Saccharomyces cerevisiae S288C: one gene and its partners. The protein of the gene in region 1 purifies or fractionates together with the protein of each later gene. This does not show direct contact. Each region holds a gene or a part of one and is shown on either strand. Other genes may lie near its edges. The genes, in order: COP1, SEC21, GLO3 and RET3.

Region 1 (7,130 bases):
GATATCGTTCAGGTCAACATTCTTAGAGTTTTCATCAGATATCTTCAATACGGAGTCCACTGCCAAGGGCGCCAAAAACGAAGAGTATTGAGACACAATCTTGGAACTCAAAGAAGTGGATGCAGCACGAACCAGCTGTTCTCTATCGCTCAACGAAACCTTATGGCACATTTCTAAAAGAATATCGACAGATCTCTTCGCAGCACTTTGAAAGGAGTCCGCAATGATGGTTGGATGGATGCCCTTGTTTAACAGCCTCTCAGCAGCACCCAATAGAGCTCCGGTCAAGATCACCACAGAAGTGGTACCATCACCGGCTTCCGAGTCCTGCGCGGCAGAAACCTCTACTAGCATTCTGGCCACCGGATGCAGAATGGCCATCTGTTTTAGAATGGTGTGGCCATCATTAGAGATGATGATTTCTCCACGAGATGTCTTAATCATCTTGTCCATACCCTTGGGACCCAATGAAGTACGGATGGCATCTGCAACAGAACGTGCAGCGATGATGTTGGCTTTGCGAACCTCTTGAGGTTTTTCCTTGTTCTTAAACGTGGCGTTAGATGGAACTTTAGCAGACATCGTTCTATACTCTCCTTTACCCGTCTTGCACACTTGCCGCACCTCCAATTACAATTCATAACCTTCATGCCCACTTAGCTATATCAACCTCTTGAACTGTATTCAATTAGCCTTTCTTGGTGGCGAAACGAAAAAAATTTCAGTTTCCCCGTGGCAAGTGATAGTAATACCAAATTATATAGCCTTAATTAGGACATATTGATATACCTCATAAACTACAGTCCCGGTGCCAGGATACAAGTTGGCATAAGCTAATGTCGAAAATGTCTAGAATACTAGTTATCGGGGCAGGTGGCGTTGGGGTCATTACTGCGCTTTCGTTGTGGCTTAAGAAGGAGAGCGACGTTTCCTTGGTAGTCAGATCTGACTACGATAGGGTATTGAAGCATGGCTACACAATCGAATCATGTGACTATGGCCGGTTAGAAGGTTGGAGACCCCACCATATTTACAGCAGCGTCGAGGACGCTGCTTCTGCCGCAGACAACCAAGGATACAACTATATTGTAGTGACTACCAAGAACATCATAGATGGGCCCGTTAATTCAAGGGTGTCCAACATCATCAGACCTGTGCTTGAGAAGAATAAAGAGCTACATGGGCCGCAATTGACGACACACATTTTACTGGTACAGAACGGAATCGATATTGAGAAGGAGATATGGGCGGAATTTCCCAGAGAGCAGTATCGTTACACGGTGCTTTCTGGCATCCAGTTAATCGGATCCACTAAGATCGGGTCAGGCCATATCAGTCAAGTGGGCCAGGACCACTTATCGTGTGGAGCTTTTGATCCACAGGACGCTGCTGCTATCCAGGCTGCCAACGACTTCGTCAGGATGTACAGCAACGAGGGGCAAAACTTTGTCGAATTTGACCCTAGGGTCCGTTACTCTCGGTGGAAGAAGTTGCTCTACAATGCAGCTATCAACACATCCACGGCACTTGTGGGGCTAGACGTTCCGCGTTGCCTGGAGTTTGGGGTTAACAAGAAGAGCACAGAAATTGAAGTGTTCCACCCTGCCATGAGGGAGATCATCGCCATTGCGGCGAGTGAAGGCATCATTATCGAAGAGGAGTTCATAACGATGTTTACAGAGATTACCAGGAAAAAGGTGTTCAAGCCATCCATGTGCGTGGACTGCGAGAAGGGCCAATTGATGGAGCTAGAAGTCATCCTAGGCAACCCCATAAGAATCGCGAAAAGAAACGGCGTCGCTACACCCACTCTTTCTATCTTATACAACCTACTTGTGCTAGTACAGGCCAAACTAAAGGAGCGGAAAGGCCTATTGAAGTTCGACGAAAAAACTGCCACTCTTGTGGACGAGTAGTTCCAACCATTGCTTGCCTCGTTGACGAGCCTTCATCTAGTATATTGTAACACATAATTTAGTATGTACTCTTAACTATTATTCTTATTGTCAGCATTTATACGACGTACAGAGCGACCGAAAATTTCGACAACACGAAACGAAATCGACAATTTGCCAACTTGAATAAATAACAGATCCGTCTTCGAGACTGTGACGATTGAGCCTCGATTCAGTAGCATACAGGGACCACAAACTTGTTTGAAGAGGCATTGCAATTAGGTAAATCATAGAATTGGCGAAACCAGCAGGATTTTCCAAACATTTGTTACTTACCCCCTTCTTTGCTTAAGATATAAAGTTTTTTCTTTTTATTTTATCTTCCCTTTACACTTTTGAATAAAAACATTATCATACCTGTTTACAAATTCGCGGTTTATTTAACCTGAAATCAGTATACTTTTTTTCTTCTGTAGTGTCTTTGTTCATTTCATTACTGGATCAAGATGAAGATGTTAACTAAATTTGAATCAAAGTCCACTAGGGCCAAGGGCATTGCCTTCCACCCCTCCAGACCTTGGGTTTTGGTGGCTTTGTTTTCCTCTACTATTCAATTATGGGATTACAGGATGGGAACACTACTTCACAGATTTGAAGACCACGAGGGCCCTGTTCGTGGGCTAGATTTCCATCCAACCCAACCGATTTTTGTTTCGGCAGGTGACGACTATACCATTAAAGTTTGGTCCTTAGATACTAACAAATGTCTATACACCTTAACTGGGCATTTGGATTATGTCCGTACCGTGTTTTTCCACCGTGAGCTGCCTTGGATCATATCTGCTTCTGATGACCAGACCATAAGAATCTGGAACTGGCAAAACCGTAAGGAAATTGCATGTTTGACCGGCCACAATCATTTTGTCATGTGTGCTCAATTTCATCCAACCGATGACCTGATCGTTTCCGCTTCTCTGGATGAAACCATCAGAATTTGGGATATTTCCGGTTTAAGGAAAAGACACTCCGCTCCTGGTACTAGTTCATTTGAGGAGCAAATGAGTGCACAACAAAATCTATTGGATGGCTCTCTTGGTGACTGTGTTGTCAAGTTTATTCTAGAGGGTCACACAAGAGGTGTCAACTGGGCCTCTTTCCATCCAACTTTACCATTGATTGTCTCCGGCAGTGACGACCGTCAAGTTAAATTATGGAGAATGAGTGCTACGAAAGCTTGGGAAGTTGATACTTGCAGAGGTCACACTAACAATGTTGATAGTGTTATCTTTCACCCACATCAAAACTTGATCATTTCTGTCGGTGAAGACAAAACGCTAAGGGTTTGGGATCTTGACAAGAGAACTCCAGTAAAGCAATTCAAAAGAGAAAACGATAGATTTTGGTTGATTGCAGCACATCCTCATATCAATCTATTTGGTGCAGCTCACGATTCTGGTATTATGGTTTTCAAGCTCGATCGCGAAAGACCATGCAGCTTTATCCATCAAAACCAGTTGTTTTTTGTCAATGCGGAAAAGCAAATCCAAAGTTTCAATTTCCAGAAAAGAGTCGCTTCATTACCTTATGCGTCCTTAAAGGGTATTGGTCAACCTTGGGATGCATTCAGAAGTATATCGTACAATCCCTCCCAACATTCAGTTTTGGTTAATGAAGCTAATGGCAAATTTGCTCTCGTTATTTTACCAAAACAACCAGTTGGAGCTGTGGAGCCAACAAGTGTCACCCAAGATACAGGTAATTTTGCTACTTTTGTTGGTCGTAATAGATTTGTTGTTTACAACAAGAACACTGAATCTGTTGAAGTTCGCTCTCTCGAAAACAAAGTTACAAGAAATATCAAAGTAGAGGAAACAGTAAGAACTATTGTAGCTGCAGGTCCTGGATCTGTTTTGGTCATACACCCCAGAGAAGTTATTCTTTATGATGTCCAACAGGGCAAAAAAGTATCCCAATTGGCTGTTAAAAACGTCAAGTACGTTTCGTGGTCCTTAGATGGTCAATATGTTGCATTGATGAGTAAGCACACCATAACTTTGGCTACCAAAAAGCTAGAATTGATTAATTCTATGCATGAAACGATTAGAATCAAAAGTGCCGCTTGGGATGAAACTGGTGTATTAATTTATTCAACTTTAAATCATATAAGGTACTCACTATTGAACGGGGATAGAGGTATTATTAAAACTTTGGAGAAAACTTTATATATCACAAAAGTTCAGGGAAAATTAGTGTACTGCTTGAACCGTGAAGGTGAGATTGAAATTTTAACCATTGATCCTACAGAATATCGCTTCAAAAAGGCCCTGGTTAACAAAAATTTCCCAGAAGTTTTACGTCTGATAAAAGATTCTAATTTGGTTGGCCAGAATATCATTTCCTATCTGCAGAAGTCAGGTTACCCAGAAATTGCTTTACAATTCGTTCAAGACCCACATATCCGTTTTGATTTAGCTTTGGAATACGGTAATTTGGATGTTGCCTTAGATGAAGCCAAAAAACTGAATGATTCTAGTACTTGGGAAAGATTAATCCAAGAAGCCTTGGCACAAGGTAATGCCAGCTTAGCTGAAATGATTTATCAAACTCAACATTCTTTTGACAAACTTTCCTTCCTGTATTTAGTTACAGGTGACGTTAACAAACTATCTAAAATGCAAAATATCGCTCAGACTCGTGAAGACTTTGGAAGTATGCTATTAAACACCTTTTACAACAATTCAACCAAGGAAAGATCTAGCATTTTTGCAGAGGGCGGCTCTTTACCATTAGCTTATGCCGTAGCAAAGGCTAACGGAGATGAAGCGGCTGCTTCTGCTTTCTTGGAGCAAGCTGAAGTTGATGAACAAGATGTTACTTTACCAGACCAGATGGATGCCTCCAACTTCGTTCAAAGACCAGTGATCTCAAAGCCACTTGAAAAATGGCCATTAAAAGAGGCTGAACTATCTTACTTTGAAAAGGCTGTTTTAGGTCAAATTGACGATTTGACTATAGACGATGAAACTCCAGCAGTAAACACCACTCAAGAGCAAGAAGAACCACTAGGCGAAGAAAACTTTAACGATGAGGATATTGGTGAAGACGAAGGTGCCTGGGATTTGGGTGACGAAGATTTGGATGTGGGAGAAGAGTTACCTGAAGAAGTTGAGCAAGGCGAAATTACCTCTCCAGCACAGGAAGTTGAAACAGCCATTTGGATCAAGAATTCTAAACTGCCTGCTGTCCTAGTTGCCGCTGGTGCCTTTGATGCCGCTGTTCAAGCCTTGAGCAAGCAAGTGGGTGTAGTCAAGCTGGAGCCATTGAAGAAATATTTTACCAACATTTATGAGGGTTGTAGAACATACATTCCTAGTACGCCCTGTGAACTTCCTGCTCAATTAGGTTATGTCAGAGCGTATGATGATACCGTAAGTGAAGATCAAATTCTTCCTTACGTGCCAGGTCTTGATGTCGTTAATGAAAAAATGAATGAGGGTTACAAAAACTTTAAACTAAACAAACCAGATATTGCAATCGAATGCTTCAGAGAAGCTATCTACCGTATTACGCTATTAATGGTCGATGATGCTGAAGATGAAAAATTAGCACACAAGATACTGGAAACTGCTAGGGAGTATATATTAGGTTTATCCATTGAATTGGAACGCCGCTCATTAAAGGAGGGAAATACTGTACGCATGCTTGAGCTAGCTGCATACTTTACAAAGGCAAAACTATCCCCAATTCATCGTACCAATGCTTTACAAGTGGCTATGTCCCAACATTTCAAACACAAAAATTTCTTACAGGCCTCATATTTTGCCGGTGAATTTTTAAAGATTATTTCTTCTGGTCCTCGTGCAGAACAAGCACGTAAAATCAAAAACAAAGCCGACTCAATGGCCAGTGACGCCATTCCAATTGACTTTGATCCTTATGCTAAATTCGATATTTGTGCAGCCACCTACAAACCAATTTATGAAGATACACCTTCCGTTTCTGACCCATTAACAGGTAGTAAATACGTTATCACGGAAAAAGATAAAATAGATAGAATTGCTATGATTTCTAAGATCGGTGCACCTGCATCCGGATTAAGAATACGTGTATAAATGCTATTTTGCCTATTGATTTTCTCGGGATTGTATTCTGCTCGACCTAAATTTCATGTGACAAGTCCTTTTAATCTAAACAATATGATAGTGAAAAAAAAAAACTGACTATGTAATTAACAGTTATATACAACTTCTAAAATAAAAAATATCGCCTATTTTAACAAGTGACACACAACCTGAAATTCTGCCAGCATGTATTCGGAAGCAACCCGAACTTTAGTTTTATAGTTACGATTGTTGCATTTGTATATAAAAAGTACAATGTGTCATTAGATACTGCAGTGAGTAGAAGAAGAAATGGTCGGAAGAACCACATTAATGCAAGAAGAAATAATGCTTTACTTATTTTGGAGTTCCACATTTTCTTGATGGAGGAGGAGGAGGAGGCGGAGGCGGAGCTTTAGCCTTTCTTTTAGTCAAAGATTCTGCAGAAACATCTAATTCACGATTACTATAAAGATGGCCTTTACGAGCCAAGATATTTTGATTGTCGGGCGTCCCCAATGCAACAATGCTAGAGTTTCTACTAGTGTTATTACTAGAGACCGATGAACCTCCATCTGAAGGCGTTGAAGGTGTCTCTAACCAAGGAATTTGTTGAAGACACTTCCGAGATAAGGCCACTGTAACTTGATGCTCGTGCAACGCTGGACTGTCAACGCATATATTATCTAAAGTCGACAAGTAGTTTAATAGTTTATTCAAATCATCCTTTCTATAATGTGTTTTGGATAATTGTGTATTCTTTAATAGCGGAATCAGAACCCTTAGAAGGGTGTTTCTCAATACCTCTTCATCCTCACTGATATTCTGTAGTTCTCTGATTAATACATCGATAAGAACACGTAAGTCGTTTGTATAAAAGAAATTCATCGGAGAGTAGTCTCCTCTTGGTGTCAAGATAAGATAAATAATTTTGCACATCATAATTTGTAACGGAGGGTCCGATGCCCTATTGAATTTCAGTAATAATAGCTCCGTAAAACATCTTGAGACAGACCCATTGATCAAATACTTATAGACCTTGTTCTCAATGTCGTACTCCTTGGCAAACATCATATATTGTTCGTTCAACGCCAACAGCAGTTTAAACTCCGCGTTATTGAACATATCGTCCATA
Region 2 (6,055 bases), on another chromosome or scaffold:
CGAGATGCTTACAGAATGCATAAGAGAGAGAAGAAAACCCTATTACGCCCACTTGTCTATATTAGATTACTGTCCCTATTTATATCATCATTGCAAAACGTGAGCACCTCATTAGACGTAGATTCTTGCATAAGTATTACTAGCAGGAGAGGAAAAACTCCACCCACACACCTCAACATGCTGAGAATTTTGCTGCGAGCAGCAAGAGGCAAAATCCAAATTTAAAGTAATTTACGCATAGAAGACATTGTAAAGGGATTGCAAAGACGTAGAGTACGCAAGTTAGAAACCGTTCATCTTTTAAAACTCCCAAGTTTTGACAAATTTGCGAGTGTGTGTGTTTCTGCTGATCTTGACGAGATTAAACTTTGTTCCTGAAGCAACAACGACAGCAACTGAACATCCTCTGAATAAGTTAATATGTTTTCCGCTCAAAAGCCAATATATGGCAATGGAGCAGGCGTGAACATGGGTGGTGGTGGTCCTTCAACTAATAATCCAGGATCTATGTCCATGCCTGGGGTTCCAACTTCAATGGGTCCAGGCATGAATCAACAAATTCCAAGTGGAGGCCCCATGCTAATGGGCAATACTCCGAATAATAATAATAGCAATGAAAATGGCGAGAACAACGGCAATAACGGCAATAACGGCGGTAACGATGCTAACGCAACTCGAAACAATCCCAACATGGTCAATAATAGAGGCGCAGTGCATGCTCTAGATGATCCCAATGTATACCACTGGATTTGTCAATTGACCTACGGCCCTCAAAAGGAACAAGCACTGCTTGAATTAGGTCGCAAAAGAGAACAGTTTGATGACCTTGCCGTTGTGCTTTGGTCTTCCTTTGGTGTAATGACCTCATTGCTGAACGAAATCATTTCCGTATATCCCATGCTGCAACCTCAGATGCTCTCTAACAATCTATCAAATCGTGTATGCAACGCTCTAGTTCTTCTACAGTGTGTTGCATCTCACCCAGAGACAAAACATCTCTTTTTACAGGCCCATATTCCTCTCTTTCTTTTCCCCTTCCTAAATACTACCTCCAGGCAAAGAACTTTTGAGTACTTGAGATTGACTTCATTAGGTGTGATAGGCGCATTGGTCAAAAATGACTCACAAGACGTAATAACGTTTTTGCTAAGAACCGATATCGTGCCGTTATGCCTAAGGATCATGGAATCTTCTTCTGAGCTTTCCAAGACAGTCGCCATTTTCATTTTACAGAAAATCCTACTAGATGACGTTGGATTGCAATACATCTGTGCCACCTTGGAAAGGTTCTACGCCGTAACTAATGTCTTAAAAGATATGGTTGAGCACTTGACCGTGAGCACACCACCGGGACGACTACTGAAACATATCATTAGATGCTACTTAAGATTAAGCGACGATCTCGAAGCACGCAGGCTATTGAAAATAGTCTTACCTGCCAAACTGAGAGATAACACTTTTACGGAAGTACTAAGAGACGACGTCGGGTCCAAGAGATGTCTGGCACAATTGCTACTGACATTAAACGAAGAAACCTCATGATGCATCCCCATAGATATATTACTGTTTTTCTCTTTCTATTTTCCTGTATTGTTTTAACCTTGCCTTTTTGTTTTAGTTTCACTTCCTCACCTCTCCTAATTTTGTATAGTTATATTTATATGCATGAAATGTATAAAGTCCACTCATATTTCAGAATGGTTTAAGTTAAGTGCCAGAAGGTTCTTCTGTACTATTACTATTACCCATTTTTCATCCTATCACCCGGAATGTACCCCTTGTGTCATTCACTACGACGCCACGAACCACGATTCTATTTTTTTCGAAATCTAAAGGTTTCGTCAAGATCAATGAAATATACATAGGCGTTTTTTTGGATACGAGTTGCATTGTTGAGAACACAATTCTTTACAAATAAGTGCAAGGGAGGAATTGTGTGTGCTCATTACCAACGTACTTCTTCAGTTATTCTGCTAAACCCGTTTTTTTGTTCTTAGCTTCATCCAGGTGAGCCCGCAAACATTACAGAACGACGTATAATACAAAATAACTAAACAAATACGGATAGGACAAAAGCCAAGAAGCGATACTAAATCACAGAGCGAATCAACATGTCTGCACATACTTACAAAAAGTTTGAAAACTCGACCTCGGGCGATTTACCTGATAAAATGACCATTTATCAGGATTGTATGAACACGTTTAACGAATCACCTGTCAATTCCAAGAGATGTCGTTTATTGATTTCTCGCTTGCTGAGACTCTTGGCCCAGGGCGAAACCTTCCCACAGAATGAAGCAACTGCATTATTTTTCTCTATCTCCAAATTATTTCAACACCAGAACGATCCTTTAAGGCAGGCTGTTTATTTGGCAATCAAGGAATTGAGTGGCATTTCGGAGGATGTGTTGATGGCAACCTCTTCAATCATGAAGGACGTTCAAAACGGTTCCGATTTGATTAAGCCTGACGCTATTAGATCGCTGACTTATGTCTTGGATGAATCTACTGCTTTTTCCGCTGAAAGGTTATTAAAAAGTGCCGTGGTAAGTAGACATCCTTCAATATCCTCAGCAGCATTATGTACTTCTTATCATTTGCTGCCCATTTCAGAAGTCACTATCAGAAGATTCACCAATGAAACTCAAGAAGCTGTTTTGGATTTGAAACAATTTCCAAATCAACACGGTAATAGCGAATATTATCCAAACTCCACTTATATTTCTCAATATCATGCTCTTGGGTTGCTTTATCAACTGAAGAAAACTGATAAAATGGCGTTACTAAAATTGGTTAGACATTTCTCTGAAAACAATTCTATGAAAAATCAATTGGCCAAGGTAGAATTGGTCAAGATTGTCAACGATTTGATTTATAGGGATCCTCAATTATTTAGTCAATTCAGGCCACTTTTGTCTGATTGGCTATCCAACAAGTTCGAATCTGTTCAGTTGGAAACGGCGAAATTGATTACTTCTTTCGCTACTCGCAATTCCCGCTTAGTGGCTCCCGAGTTATATGCGGCAGCTATCAGTGCTTTACAGTCCTTACTGACCGTTCCTCGTGTTTCTTCTAGATTCGCTGCATTGAGAATCTTAAATAGAATATCCATGGTTTCACCAGAAAAGATTGTTGTTTGTAATCCTGAACTAGAATCTTTAATTAATGATTCTAATAGAAACATTTCTACTTATGCAATCACCACTTTATTGAAGACAGGAACTTCCAAAAATATTTCATCTCTGATTTCGACTATTACTAATTTTATCCATGATGTCAGTGATGACTTTAAGATCATTATTATTGACGCCGTTCGTACGTTGTCTTTGAACTTCCCACAGGAATGGAAGTCAATTTTGAACTTCTTAATCGATGTTTTGAAAAATAGTGAAGGTGGATTCAAATTTAAAAACAGTATTGTCGAAGCATTAATCGATATTGTTTCATTTGTTCCACAGTCTAAAGAACTCGCCTTAGAAAACTTGTGTGATTTCATCGAGGATTGTGAATTCAACGAAATACTAGTGAGAATACTACATCTTTTGGGTAAAGAAGGTCCATCTGCCCCAAATCCATCATTATATGTTAGACATATTTATAACAGAGTGGTGTTGGAAAATTCTATTATTAGATCTGCTGCCGTTGTAGCTTTATCTAAGTTTGCTTTGACGAAGAACGATCCTACCTTATATGAGTCAATCATAAGTTTGTTAAAGAGAATCGCTAATGATAAAGACGATGAAGTCAGAGACAGAGCCACCATTGCACTAGAATTCATTGATTCGGCTAGGAATAAAGATGATGTTATAGCACAAAATCTAATCGAATCCAAATATTTTTACGATATTCCATCATTAGAGTCAAAATTAAGTTCTTACATTTCCTCAAATACTGATTCATTTGCAACTGCATTTGATGTGAATCAAGTTCGTAAGTTTACTGAGGATGAAATGAAGGCAATAAATCTGAAGAGAAAGCAAGAACAAATTTTCAATCAAAAGTCTGAAACCACTTTGGATACTACACCAGAGGCAGAGAGTGTTCCAGAAAAAAGAGCTGACGCTAATTCATTTGCTGGTCCAAACTTGGACGACCACCAAGAAGATCTACTAGCTACTAAGTACGCTGACGAATTGCTATCCATTGAACAAATTAAACCATTTGGTCAATTAGTAAATAGTTCTAGGGCTATCTCATTAACTGAGCCAGAAGCAGAATTCGTTGTACGTGGTGTCAAACATCTCTTCAAAGACAATGTTGTTTTACAATTTAATATTACGAATACTCTGACGGATATTGCCCTAGACAATGTTTCTGTAGTCTGTACCCCTGAAATTTCTGATGAAGCTGAATTAGAAGAGCTATTCACCCTACAAGTGGACAGATTATTACCATCCGAGGAAGCAGCTTGTTACGTTGCATTCAAAAAACTTGATGAAATTGTAATGGAAGGTTTCTTGAACAACTTAACATTCACTACAAAAGAAATAAACCCTGACACTAATGAGCCATTTGATGGTGATGAAGGTTTCCAAGATGAATATGAAATTGACTCGATTTTCTTGAATGCTGGTGATTATGTTAAGAGTTCTTTCACTGGTAACTTCTCCGCTACATTTGATGAGTTGCCATGCGAAGAAGTTGCTGTTTTCAACATTCAAGAAGATTTATCCATACAAGAAGTAGTAGATAAGATTATTTTGAACAGTAGCTGCTTACCGGTGGAAAGTACCCAATTTGCTCCAAGTGATTCAAACTCCCACACCTTGAAATTATTTGGTAAGAGTGCTTTAACTGGATCTAAAGTAGCCCTACAGATTAAGATGATCAAGAGTTCGAAAGGTCTTGCTTTGAAAGTTCATGGTAAAGGTGAAGACAGCTTATTATGCTCTGATCTGGTGAATGGTCTAATGCAGTAAGCTGTGAAATTTTATTTCAGTTAATCCCTTCTTTTGTTATCAATAGTATTAAAAGAAATGCGTCAGCTTTAGCAAGCGTGCATGCAAATAAGGGAATGAACAGCAAGAACAATAATAAACCAAAAAAATCACGGATAGAATATGACGGATCATCACCACACGAAGAATAAATTATGTAATCTTTGTATAAACAAAATTTTTAAAGAAAAATACTATAATAGTTTGACAAGAGAAAACGAAATGGAAGAAACAGGACAACAGGGCAGAAAAAAGTTGACATTATGCAATTGATGAAAGAAGAAGAAGAAAAAAAACAAAAAAAAAGCACTAGTCTGACCAGGCATATTGTAAAAGGCTGCAGACCCTTGAACGCACTACACTTTTCACTGTATTCCGTTACCAACATTACTGTTTGACAGCGATGGATGCTGATGAATTGGAATTGAAAGGTCATTTGAAAAAATTGAAAAAAGAAGAATTGCTTAGAAGGAAACAGTTAAAAGAGAGTAATCTTCAGAAAAGAGAGCTTGAATATAATAATGCCTCAAAAAATACTTCAATATATATTTCTGGTCTTCCCACAGACAAAACAACGAAAGAAGGACTCACTGAGCAGTTTTGCAAGTATGGAATGATAAGAACCAATCGAGATGGGGAACCCCTTTGCAAGCTATATGTGAATGATAAAGGCGCTTTCAAAGGGGATGCCTTGATCACTTATTCCAAGGAAGAAAGTGTTACATTAGCAATCGAAATGATGAACGAGTCGATCTTCCTGGGAAAACAGATCAGGGTCGAAAGAGCCCAATTTCAAAACAAGGAAGGTGACAATATGCACGGGAAAGAAAATGATTTAAAGGAGTTCAACGGACCTGAGCCTCCAATAAAGAGGCTAAAAAAAGCGAAGTCTGAAGGGGAGGGGGAAGTAATAGATTACAATGACGATGAAAGCCTAGCAAAAGCTGATCGAACGGTGATATTTGCCAACGTATTCAATATTTACAAATCATACACAAATGATGATATAAATGATATTCAGGAAGATCTTTTGGAAGGCTGTGAAGAGATAGGTCAAGTAGACAGTATATCTGTATCTCCCAATAAGGGGGAAGCGACGGTCGTCTTTAAGAACAATA
Region 3 (4,997 bases), on another chromosome or scaffold:
ACTAAATAAAAGCTTACATCCAAGTATCAAAGAAGTCGCTCACGGTTTCTCCAATTCTTGAACCTTGATTAATCATAAATTACATATTATTTTGGATATTCTTAAAAAAATGCTATAATAGTGCTTGAAGATAGATTTAGCACACCAAAAACATACCGGGATTAATATATATGTGCGTGTAGTCTTTTGATAAAGGAATATACAGAAGGAAAACGATTACGATGCTGACTATGTCTCATTTTCTTCTTTTTCCTGTTTCTTTACCCTCTCCGGAATTCAATTATTGTAGATGATAAAATAAAGGGTAACAGAGAGAAAGAGAAACAAAATAATACATTATTGGAAAGTCATAAATTGGGAAAGAGCGGCATAAGGAAACAGCCAATCAAAAAAAAAAAGGAAAAAGAGAAAAGTATAAAAATCGCTTTATCAACAGCAACAAAAACAGCAACAACAATATTTGTATATTTTAGAACAAAATGTATCATTCTCGTCATCAGAATAAGCATCATTTTCTTGTTCGTAATTTCGTTGACTTTGATAATTGATATTCTTATTTGCAAGGTTTGTGTAGTGGTTTGGTAAGTTGTGCTCATTATTACTTCTTTTAGGGTTAGCTTTAGAACTTGAATATGGTACAAATGGTGAATTTTGTGTATGACTGATGGAGTCGTACGTTTGACTTTGACTTTTAATTGGCCGTTGAAGATTTGAATGTGTTTCAGGAATATATTTACTATTGGGTTCGATTTTTTTCAAGACGTGTTGTTGTTTAGTAAAGCTCTGCGGGTTCGAAGAAATTCTGGATTTCGAATTGTCCTTGTTATAACTGTTTTGAGCTTGTTGCTTAGGTGTCGCAACTGGCGTTGTATTTCGTGTCTTTGAATTCGTATTCACATTGTTTCTTGCAGTATTGCCATTGACTCTTGGATTTGGATTTCCGTAACCATGCAAGTTAGCTCTTCTATTAATCTTGATATTCCAGCCTTTACCACCATTCAAATCCATCCAGTCATAGTGTCCATCATCCTTTAAGTCGTTTAATCTCAAAGCGTCATCCATTAACGAGATTAAATAGTCATAATCCGGATCTTCGTCGAACTTCAAGGAACGTGCATATTTTAAATATGTGGCAAACTGATAAGGAATAGCATTATTCAATAAAAGATCATCAGGATTCAATTTCTGTTTAGTCATACCAATCTTTTCATACTTCAGTTTGTTGTTTGGTGCTTTCAAACCTTGCCATGGCAAGGATCCCCTCAAGAAATAAAAAAAAACGTGACCTAGCGATTCTAAATCATCCCTACGTGACTGTTCTCTTCCAAAATGAGTATTAATAGACATATATCTGGCGGTACCGCTCAATGATTTTCGTTCACGGTATGGTATATGTTGTTTCGTTCTTGGATCTCTATATTGTTTTGCCATACCAAAGTCAACCATGTATATTAAATTGGGATCATTATTAGAAGAGGAGGCACATGATTTAATGACTTTTCCTTCAGGTGAAATTCTTTGATATTGAGAAATTAAAAAGTTATCGGGTTTAATATCGCGATAGATTAAGTCGTGATCATGAATTGCTCTAACTCTATCAATCATTTGCTTGGCAACCATACAGGTTGTTTTCACTGAAAATTTTCTACCACACCACTCAAAGAGATCTTCCAATGATGGCCCTAGTAAATCGATAATCAAGATGTTGTGCATACCTTCTTGACCAAAATAATAAGCATGGGGAATTCCAACGCAGCCATTCAATATCCTATAGGCTCTAAATTCGTCACGCAACTGGGGTGCGTCCGAATGTCGCGGTTCGAATTTAATTGCGACTGGCTCGTTCGCCATTATTATACTAGAGTCCCTCTTGCTACCGGTCTGCGCTTGACAAGAATGAAGAATGTTCTCTCCCTCAAATATTACTCCGAAAGACCCTTCGCCAATCTTAGGTCCTACAGCATAATGAATACCTACAATGTGTTGTGAAGATCGTTGGGACATCTTTCCTTATCGTCCTTTTACACTTTTTCTTCAGAATGAGATACCACTTTTGATTAGTGGACCGTAGCACGTATACCCTTAAATAGCAGACAATTCTTGCAAAACGGATTTCCTTCTTTTTTAAAAAACAGCAAATAATACCAGTACCTAGATGTTACGAATGCTGTTCCCCTGTTACTCTCTAAGCTGCCCTTTTCAATTCACCTATAGAATGTTTAAAATTTTACTTTCAATATTGGTATTATCTATGACACAAAAGGAAAAGTAACATCGTTTGGTCATTTTCGACGACACGGTAAAGTTTCGAAAAAAAAAAAAAAAAAAGAAAACAACTATTCTTCGTAAACACGATTTAGCTGGCATTTTATAAAAGGAGATCAAGGCGATAGCAAAGAAAGGGTATTTGTTAAGTACTTGTTGATCCGGTCTTCTTGAGCAATTTAGTATACACATAGCGACAATGAGTAACGATGAAGGAGAAACATTTGCCACGGAACAGACTACTCAACAAGTTTTTCAGAAGCTAGGTAGCAACATGGAAAATCGAGTTTGTTTTGATTGTGGTAACAAGAATCCTACTTGGACTTCGGTACCTTTTGGTGTGATGCTGTGTATTCAATGCTCTGCTGTGCATAGAAACATGGGTGTTCATATCACCTTTGTAAAGTCTTCTACATTAGATAAATGGACAATTAACAATTTAAGAAGGTTTAAGTTGGGTGGGAACCATAAGGCTCGTGATTTTTTCTTAAAGAACAATGGGAAACAGCTACTAAATACAGCAAATGTTGACGCGAAAACAAAATATACGAGCCCTGTTGCTAAGAAATATAAGATACATCTCGACAAGAAGGTTCAAAAGGATATGGAGTTATACCCATCAGAATTAGTCTTGAACGGTCAAGATTCTTCGGACTCACCGTTGGACACCGATTCAGACGCTTCCAGGTCGACTTCCAAAGAAAATAGTGTTGACGATTTTTTCTCTAATTGGCAAAAACCAAGCTCCAATTCCAGTTCTAAACTCAATGTAAATACAGGCTCTCTCGCCCCAAAAAACAACACCACAGGCAGCACACCCAAGACCACTGTCACTAAAACGAGAAGTTCCATCTTAACGGCTAGCAGAAAGAAACCGGTATTAAACTCGCAAGATAAAAAGAAACATTCAATTTTGTCTTCGTCAAGAAAGCCCACTAGACTAACCGCAAAGAAAGTCGACAAATCACAGGCAGAAGACTTGTTTGATCAATTTAAAAAAGAGGCTCAACAAGAAAAGGAGGACGAGTTCACTAATTCGTCTTCTAGCACCAAAATTAGACAAAATGATTACGATTCCCAATTTATGAATAACAGTAAAGGCAACAATAATAACAGTATAGATGATATTAATACCCAGCCTGATGAATTCAATGATTTTTTAAATGACACTTCAAACAGCTTCGACACAACTAGAAAAGAACAGCAAGATACTTTAACACCCAAGTTTGCCAAATTGGGATTTGGTATGACCATGAATGACGCCAATGATTTGGCAAAGCAACAAAAAGAATCTCAGAAAATAGCTCAGGGACCAAGATATACGGGCAGAATCGCGGAAAGGTACGGCACACAAAAAGCTATATCATCTGATCAATTATTTGGTCGTGGCTCATTTGATGAAGCAGCAAACAGGGAAGCGCATGACAAGTTGAAAACATTTGACAATGCTACATCAATTTCCTCTTCTTCATACTTTGGAGAAGATAAAGAAGTGGATGAATTTGGTAATCCCATCAATAGTAGTGGAAGTGGAGCAGGGAATTTTGATGGCCGTAATTCTAATAACGGTTTCATCGATTTTAATGCCTCCGCAGATGATGAATTGCAGATGTTGAGAGACGTTGTAGAACAGGGTGCTGAAAAACTCGGTAGTTATTTAAGGGACTACTTAAGAAAATAAGTTTAATTTTCTCTTTAATTGAATTTTTTTTTTTTCATTGTTATCATTGTTTTTTATTCTCATTTTTCATTATATGATAATTATATTTATGGTACATAGAAACGGTTGTATATGCATTGTACGTGCGTTTATTCTTATTCTTCATCCCCCCTTATCTTAGTTTAAGGTTTCTAAAATCGAAAGTTTCATGTGCGTATGAAGCGGTTGAAAATGCAGACGAGGTAGCATTTGGTTCATTAGCATTATAAACACTTTGCTTTAAAGAAGGTAAGTTATTTTCGACATCTCTGTTTCTAATTGCTTCATCGTCCACATAGGGAGAGTCTATACCCACTTTCCAAAACGAGTTCATTACTTGATTACCATATTCGTTAGAAACACTTGCATTTAAACTATCACTTGCCGCAAGGGCGTAGTAGTGCGCATCCTGTTGCATTTCTTCGCTCTTTTCCTCTGCTGGCCTTGAATTCTTGTCGTGCCAGCGCGATAAGCCCATGTTACTATATTGTCAATATGTGAGTCCCTCGTTCACTATGAGACCTAGCAAAAAACAAACTGAAAGTAGGTGGCTGTTTATGTATTCATTTATTTATGGACCTTTTAGGCGCGACCCCCTCGCAAGATCTTCGTTAATGTGCATCCAAGACCCTCCCCTCATTTAGTAGACCCCGCATTGTTATGGTTAATAACGGATAGTTATTTGCCCAAGATAGCGCCTACTACACTAGGGAAACCGAACATGAATAAATTAAACAAGTAATATGTTACAACAGTGGTATAGTTATCGATTATTCTCCTATTTAAAAAATAAAACATATAAAAAAGTTAGGAAAGTATGATCTTTTAGTTCCTTGTTCTAGTATTGTAAAGGCTACAGAAGGAAACAATAAAAAAAGATTGTAGAAAAACAAAGTAAAATAAAGACTGAAAGGAAGGAAAGGGCAAAACACACACATATATAAATATATATTTAGAATACAGCTATATCCTCAATCTCCCTATTATCTGTAGAACCATCCTAAAACCAAGATAAGGAGTGCAACCAATATGA
Region 4 (3,655 bases), on another chromosome or scaffold:
CGGTGACAACCCACTAGATTTGTTAGATTCTCAAACACTAGCTCATATATCATCTACCAGACCAAAGAAATTCAATAAGAATCAAAATAGAGCAAGGTTTAATGATGATGCGTTTAACTTTGACTCAGAAGGAAAACTCGTTGTCAAGGGGCAACCTAAACCCTCTACTAATGTAGACGATCCATTGAGTGCTGTGACAAGCGGAATCAATGCGTATCTAGAGGCTGTGAAAAGTGGTCCTGTAAGAGGTCAAAGAAACAAGCTGAAATTCAGGAAAAATGGAAAGGACTCTGATGAATTTGGCGATGATGATGATGGTGAAAAGGATAGTAGGCTAATGAGAGGAAGAGTAAATCAAGGTAACAAGATTGGCAAACATAATAAGAAAGGTCCAAAGTTCAAATCTAGAAAAAAATTATAGAAGATTGAAACTGAGCAATATGGCTAATTACACACCTGGAGAAAAAATCAGATATGTATATATAAGAATATTATAATACTGTATATTAAAAATGATTAAAATAAAGAAAAAAATGAATCGGGCGTTTAATTGCTTATTATCTTGAAGAAGCGAAAGTACACTATATAGTAATAATGTGAGGTTAATTAAATATGGATGAGATAATGACGAAAGAAAATGCAGAAATGTCGTTTTAAAAGTAACCCCCATAATCTAGTGAGGTTCGACGTTGAAATGTGCTGTCCATATCTTCCTGCTCTGCCCATTTAGTATCAACATTTGAGTCGAATTGAAACATTGATATGTCACGGTCATCACCATGAGGAGACTCTGTTAAACTTTTATTGTTCTCTTTAAAACTTTCCTCATTGTTATTTTCTTGAGACTTTTGGTTAGGGCCTTCCACTTCGCCAAGTGATTCAAGCTCCTCATCCTCAAATGAAAGAGTTATATTTTCTAACCTATTTTCTTTTCTCATTATCGGCAGTTTGCTAGTTACAAATGGATTTTCTTGGATCTCTGTTAAGGCATCCTCATCTCTTGGGGTCATCGCCGAAGGCATCCTATCTTCGTTTGTTATGGTAGTGTGGTGATGGCGGCTTAGAATGGAAGATTTATAGCCTGCAATATGTGGTAAAGCCGGTACATTTTGAGATTCTTTTTTGGAAGCTCTTTCAATCATGTTTATACGTTGTCTAGCAATGACTAATTTGATCCAATCATCTAATCCATTATTATTTATTAGATCTTCTATCAACTCTGTTTTTCTATTCTTTGTTTCTAATTTCTGTTTCGCACCCTTGTTTTGCAGTAATTGATTGAGATAGTCAGGTATTGCTGACAAAGGATCAGATTCTTTTTCCTCACTTTGTAGTAATTCTACTGTGGGTAAGGCAGTTATTCGCGCGTCGGTCAATTGAGTACTATAAATACACCAGTCCTTGAACTTTTCCATTCCTCGTGAACTTGATAATTCGGAGTTTTCATCATAGACATCCAGAACGTTCGTAGGCTTAACAATACCTAGATTTTCCAGAGCCAGAGTTATATCTTGTAAAGCAATTGTATCGTCCTGATCACATCTTGCCTGAGCGATAGAACTGACCTCTGATGCTAACAAACTCAAGAATTTTGCATAGAGATCGGTCATGACATCCACCAGACTGGGCCTTGCCCTGTCAAATCCTTGTGCCTTCAATAATTGGAGAATAGATATGCGTAGTAGAGCAAAATAGAAGTCATTATTTGTAGTCATAGCAGAGGAACTCTATTGACCCAAAGATATCGCTGTTTTCCGCTAGTAGGTGATTTGGAATTGCTCAGGAAGCTACTTCAAGTGTTATATTAGCATACCTTCATCATGCAATATGAAATTACTGAAAAAAAAAACTAAAGCATCGCGAGCTTACCCGTTTCGCCACTTCTGTCAAGTGAAAAAACACGTTTGCATTGTTTAGGCTACAAGGTGTGGAATATCGAAGTTATTGCTAGACAGAAGTTCTTTAGGCATTTAGGTTTTGTTTGTGAGCTGGCTTGCTAATTTTGAGTACTGTGCATCATTGTTCCAGGATGTCTTCTTTATCGCTATATACTGTTCAGGCTGTTTTAATACTAGATCAGCAAGGAGAACGAATTTATGCAAAGTATTATCAACCTCCTCATAGATCTGATGAAGGACACCAATTGCTCTTCAATTCGGTGAAGAAGCAAAAAGAGTTTGAGAAACAACTATACCGTAAGACTCACAAGCAAGATTCGGAGATTTTAATCTTCGAGGATCATTTAGTCCTTTACAAAGAATACATTGATATCACGATATATTTAGTTGCTTCGCTGGAAGAGAATGAAATTGTTCTTCAGCAAGGATTTTCAGCAATCAGAGGAGCTTTGGATTTGATTTTGAACTCAGGAATGGACAAAAAAAACATCCAAGAAAACTATGATATGGTTTTATTAGCTATTGATGAAACCATTGATAATGGTGTTATCCTCGAAACTGACTCTAACACTATTGCATCCAGAGTTTCTAAACCACCTACGAACGAACCCCAAATGGCATTAGATTTGGATAAGGGTTTCTTAGGCGCGTGGGGTTTCGCAAAGAGCAAGTTTCAAGAAAGGTTACAGCAAGGCTTATGATCACAAGGCAAAGCGGATAGAAGAAAATTTTAGCTGGTCTTATATGGTATATATGCAGTGTCTTACTTTCTCCCTTCCATATATATGTATCTACTTATATATATAAGTATATGTTGCTCATTTAGAAATGATTGTCACCTCATGCTAATCATTTTATTCTTCTCGTTGGTCTGTGATGAAAAATAATGAAAAAATTATAATTGCTGTCTATTTTCTTTTCATCTCATATGATTTAGCGTTTTTTTTTGCCCTTCTTCGAAGAGTTACCACCGTTCTTGGTGGATTTCTGCCCAGCGATTGTTACTTTTAACTTGTCGACACAGAGCAGAAGAACCAAGTCCTGTTCCTTCAAGCCTTTAATCATTTCATGTTCTTGGGGCCAATCCATTTCGTTGTCAGTTGAAGAACCGTCTAGTGGTCTACTCTTGAAATAATGTAAAATTTCAGTTAAAGTCTTAGTTTTCTTCGCACTTCCCGGTTGTATTTTGACTTTGTATTTATATTTCAAAAGCGCAGGCCAGGGGGCAAATACTGGTATAATATCATCAACCACATCGCCCTTATCGAGAGATGGTTTTAATTCGGACTTGTGTTTATCATAGTTCACTCTTGCTTTCTCTTTTTTGGTGAATTTTAAAGCCTGTAGTCTTCTTTGTTTCTCGCGTTTATTCTTTCTATCTTCTCTAACTTCTCGCTTCATTATTTCTTCTTTCTTCCTTTGTTGCTGCTTTTCGATACCCTTCAAAGTACCCAAGGCCTCCAAACGCAAGAGACGTTCAGTTTCATCCTGGTCGGCGTATTTCTTTTGAATTTTCTTCAATTTTCCTCTTTTACCACGGACGTTACTGTTTATGTTTTCGATTAAAGATATCGGAACACCTGGTTCATCAAGGATACGCTGCGTACTGCTATTGTCATTTTTGGCTTTAGCATTTCCAGAATCAGAGTCGGTATCGGATGATATGGTGCAATGCTTTTCGATGTCTTTTTCAAGATTATCGTGTTCAAAACTGTTGTTTTTCGTGCTATCGTTTGAATCTCCACCCTTCTCTAACC

Evidence for each region.
Region 2: the proteins of COP1 (region 1) and SEC21 purify together in Saccharomyces cerevisiae (affinity purification with mass spectrometry; 8 studies listed by BioGRID). This does not show direct contact.
Region 3: the proteins of COP1 (region 1) and GLO3 purify together in Saccharomyces cerevisiae (affinity purification with mass spectrometry; 4 studies listed by BioGRID). This does not show direct contact.
Region 4: the proteins of COP1 (region 1) and RET3 purify together in Saccharomyces cerevisiae (affinity purification with mass spectrometry, with the first as the bait; 5 studies listed by BioGRID). This does not show direct contact.

The regions. Positions count from the first base shown.
Region 1 is NC_001136.10:193,448-200,577, reverse strand, and holds COP1 (coatomer subunit alpha), read left to right. Parts: upstream 1-2,401; coding exon 2,402-6,007; downstream 6,008-7,130. Other genes in the region: chaperonin-containing T-complex subunit CCT4, read right to left, coding at 1-582; YDL144C (uncharacterized protein), read left to right, coding at 846-1,916; LDB17 (Ldb17p), read right to left, coding at 6,353-7,130. UniProt on the Saccharomyces cerevisiae protein: The coatomer is a cytosolic protein complex that binds to dilysine motifs and reversibly associates with Golgi non-clathrin-coated vesicles, which further mediate biosynthetic protein transport from the ER, via the Golgi up to the trans Golgi network.
Region 2 is NC_001146.8:89,883-95,937, forward strand, and holds SEC21 (coatomer subunit gamma), read left to right. Parts: upstream 1-2,111; coding exon 2,112-4,919; downstream 4,920-6,055. Other genes in the region: CCR4-NOT core subunit CAF40, read left to right, coding at 421-1,542; U2 snRNP complex subunit CUS2, read left to right, coding at 5,341-6,055. UniProt on the Saccharomyces cerevisiae protein: The coatomer is a cytosolic protein complex that binds to dilysine motifs and reversibly associates with Golgi non-clathrin-coated vesicles, which further mediate biosynthetic protein transport from the ER, via the Golgi up to the trans Golgi network.
Region 3 is NC_001137.3:401,820-406,816, reverse strand, and holds GLO3 (ADP-ribosylation factor GTPase-activating protein), read left to right. Parts: upstream 1-2,464; coding exon 2,465-3,946; downstream 3,947-4,997. Other genes in the region: casein kinase YCK3, read right to left, coding at 430-2,004; YER121W (uncharacterized protein), read right to left, coding at 4,098-4,442; phosphatidylinositol-binding protein SCS2, read right to left, coding at 4,948-4,997. UniProt on the Saccharomyces cerevisiae protein: GTPase-activating protein for the ADP ribosylation factor (ARF) family. Involved in retrograde vesicular transport from the Golgi to the endoplasmic reticulum.
Region 4 is NC_001148.4:532,989-536,643, forward strand, and holds RET3 (coatomer subunit zeta), read left to right. Parts: upstream 1-2,029; coding exon 2,030-2,599; downstream 2,600-3,655. Other genes in the region: mRNA-binding protein RRP12, read left to right, coding at 1-421; TAF3 (Taf3p), read right to left, coding at 654-1,715; RQC2 (Rqc2p), read right to left, coding at 2,832-3,655. UniProt on the Saccharomyces cerevisiae protein: The coatomer is a cytosolic protein complex that binds to dilysine motifs and reversibly associates with Golgi non-clathrin-coated vesicles, which further mediate biosynthetic protein transport from the ER, via the Golgi up to the trans Golgi network.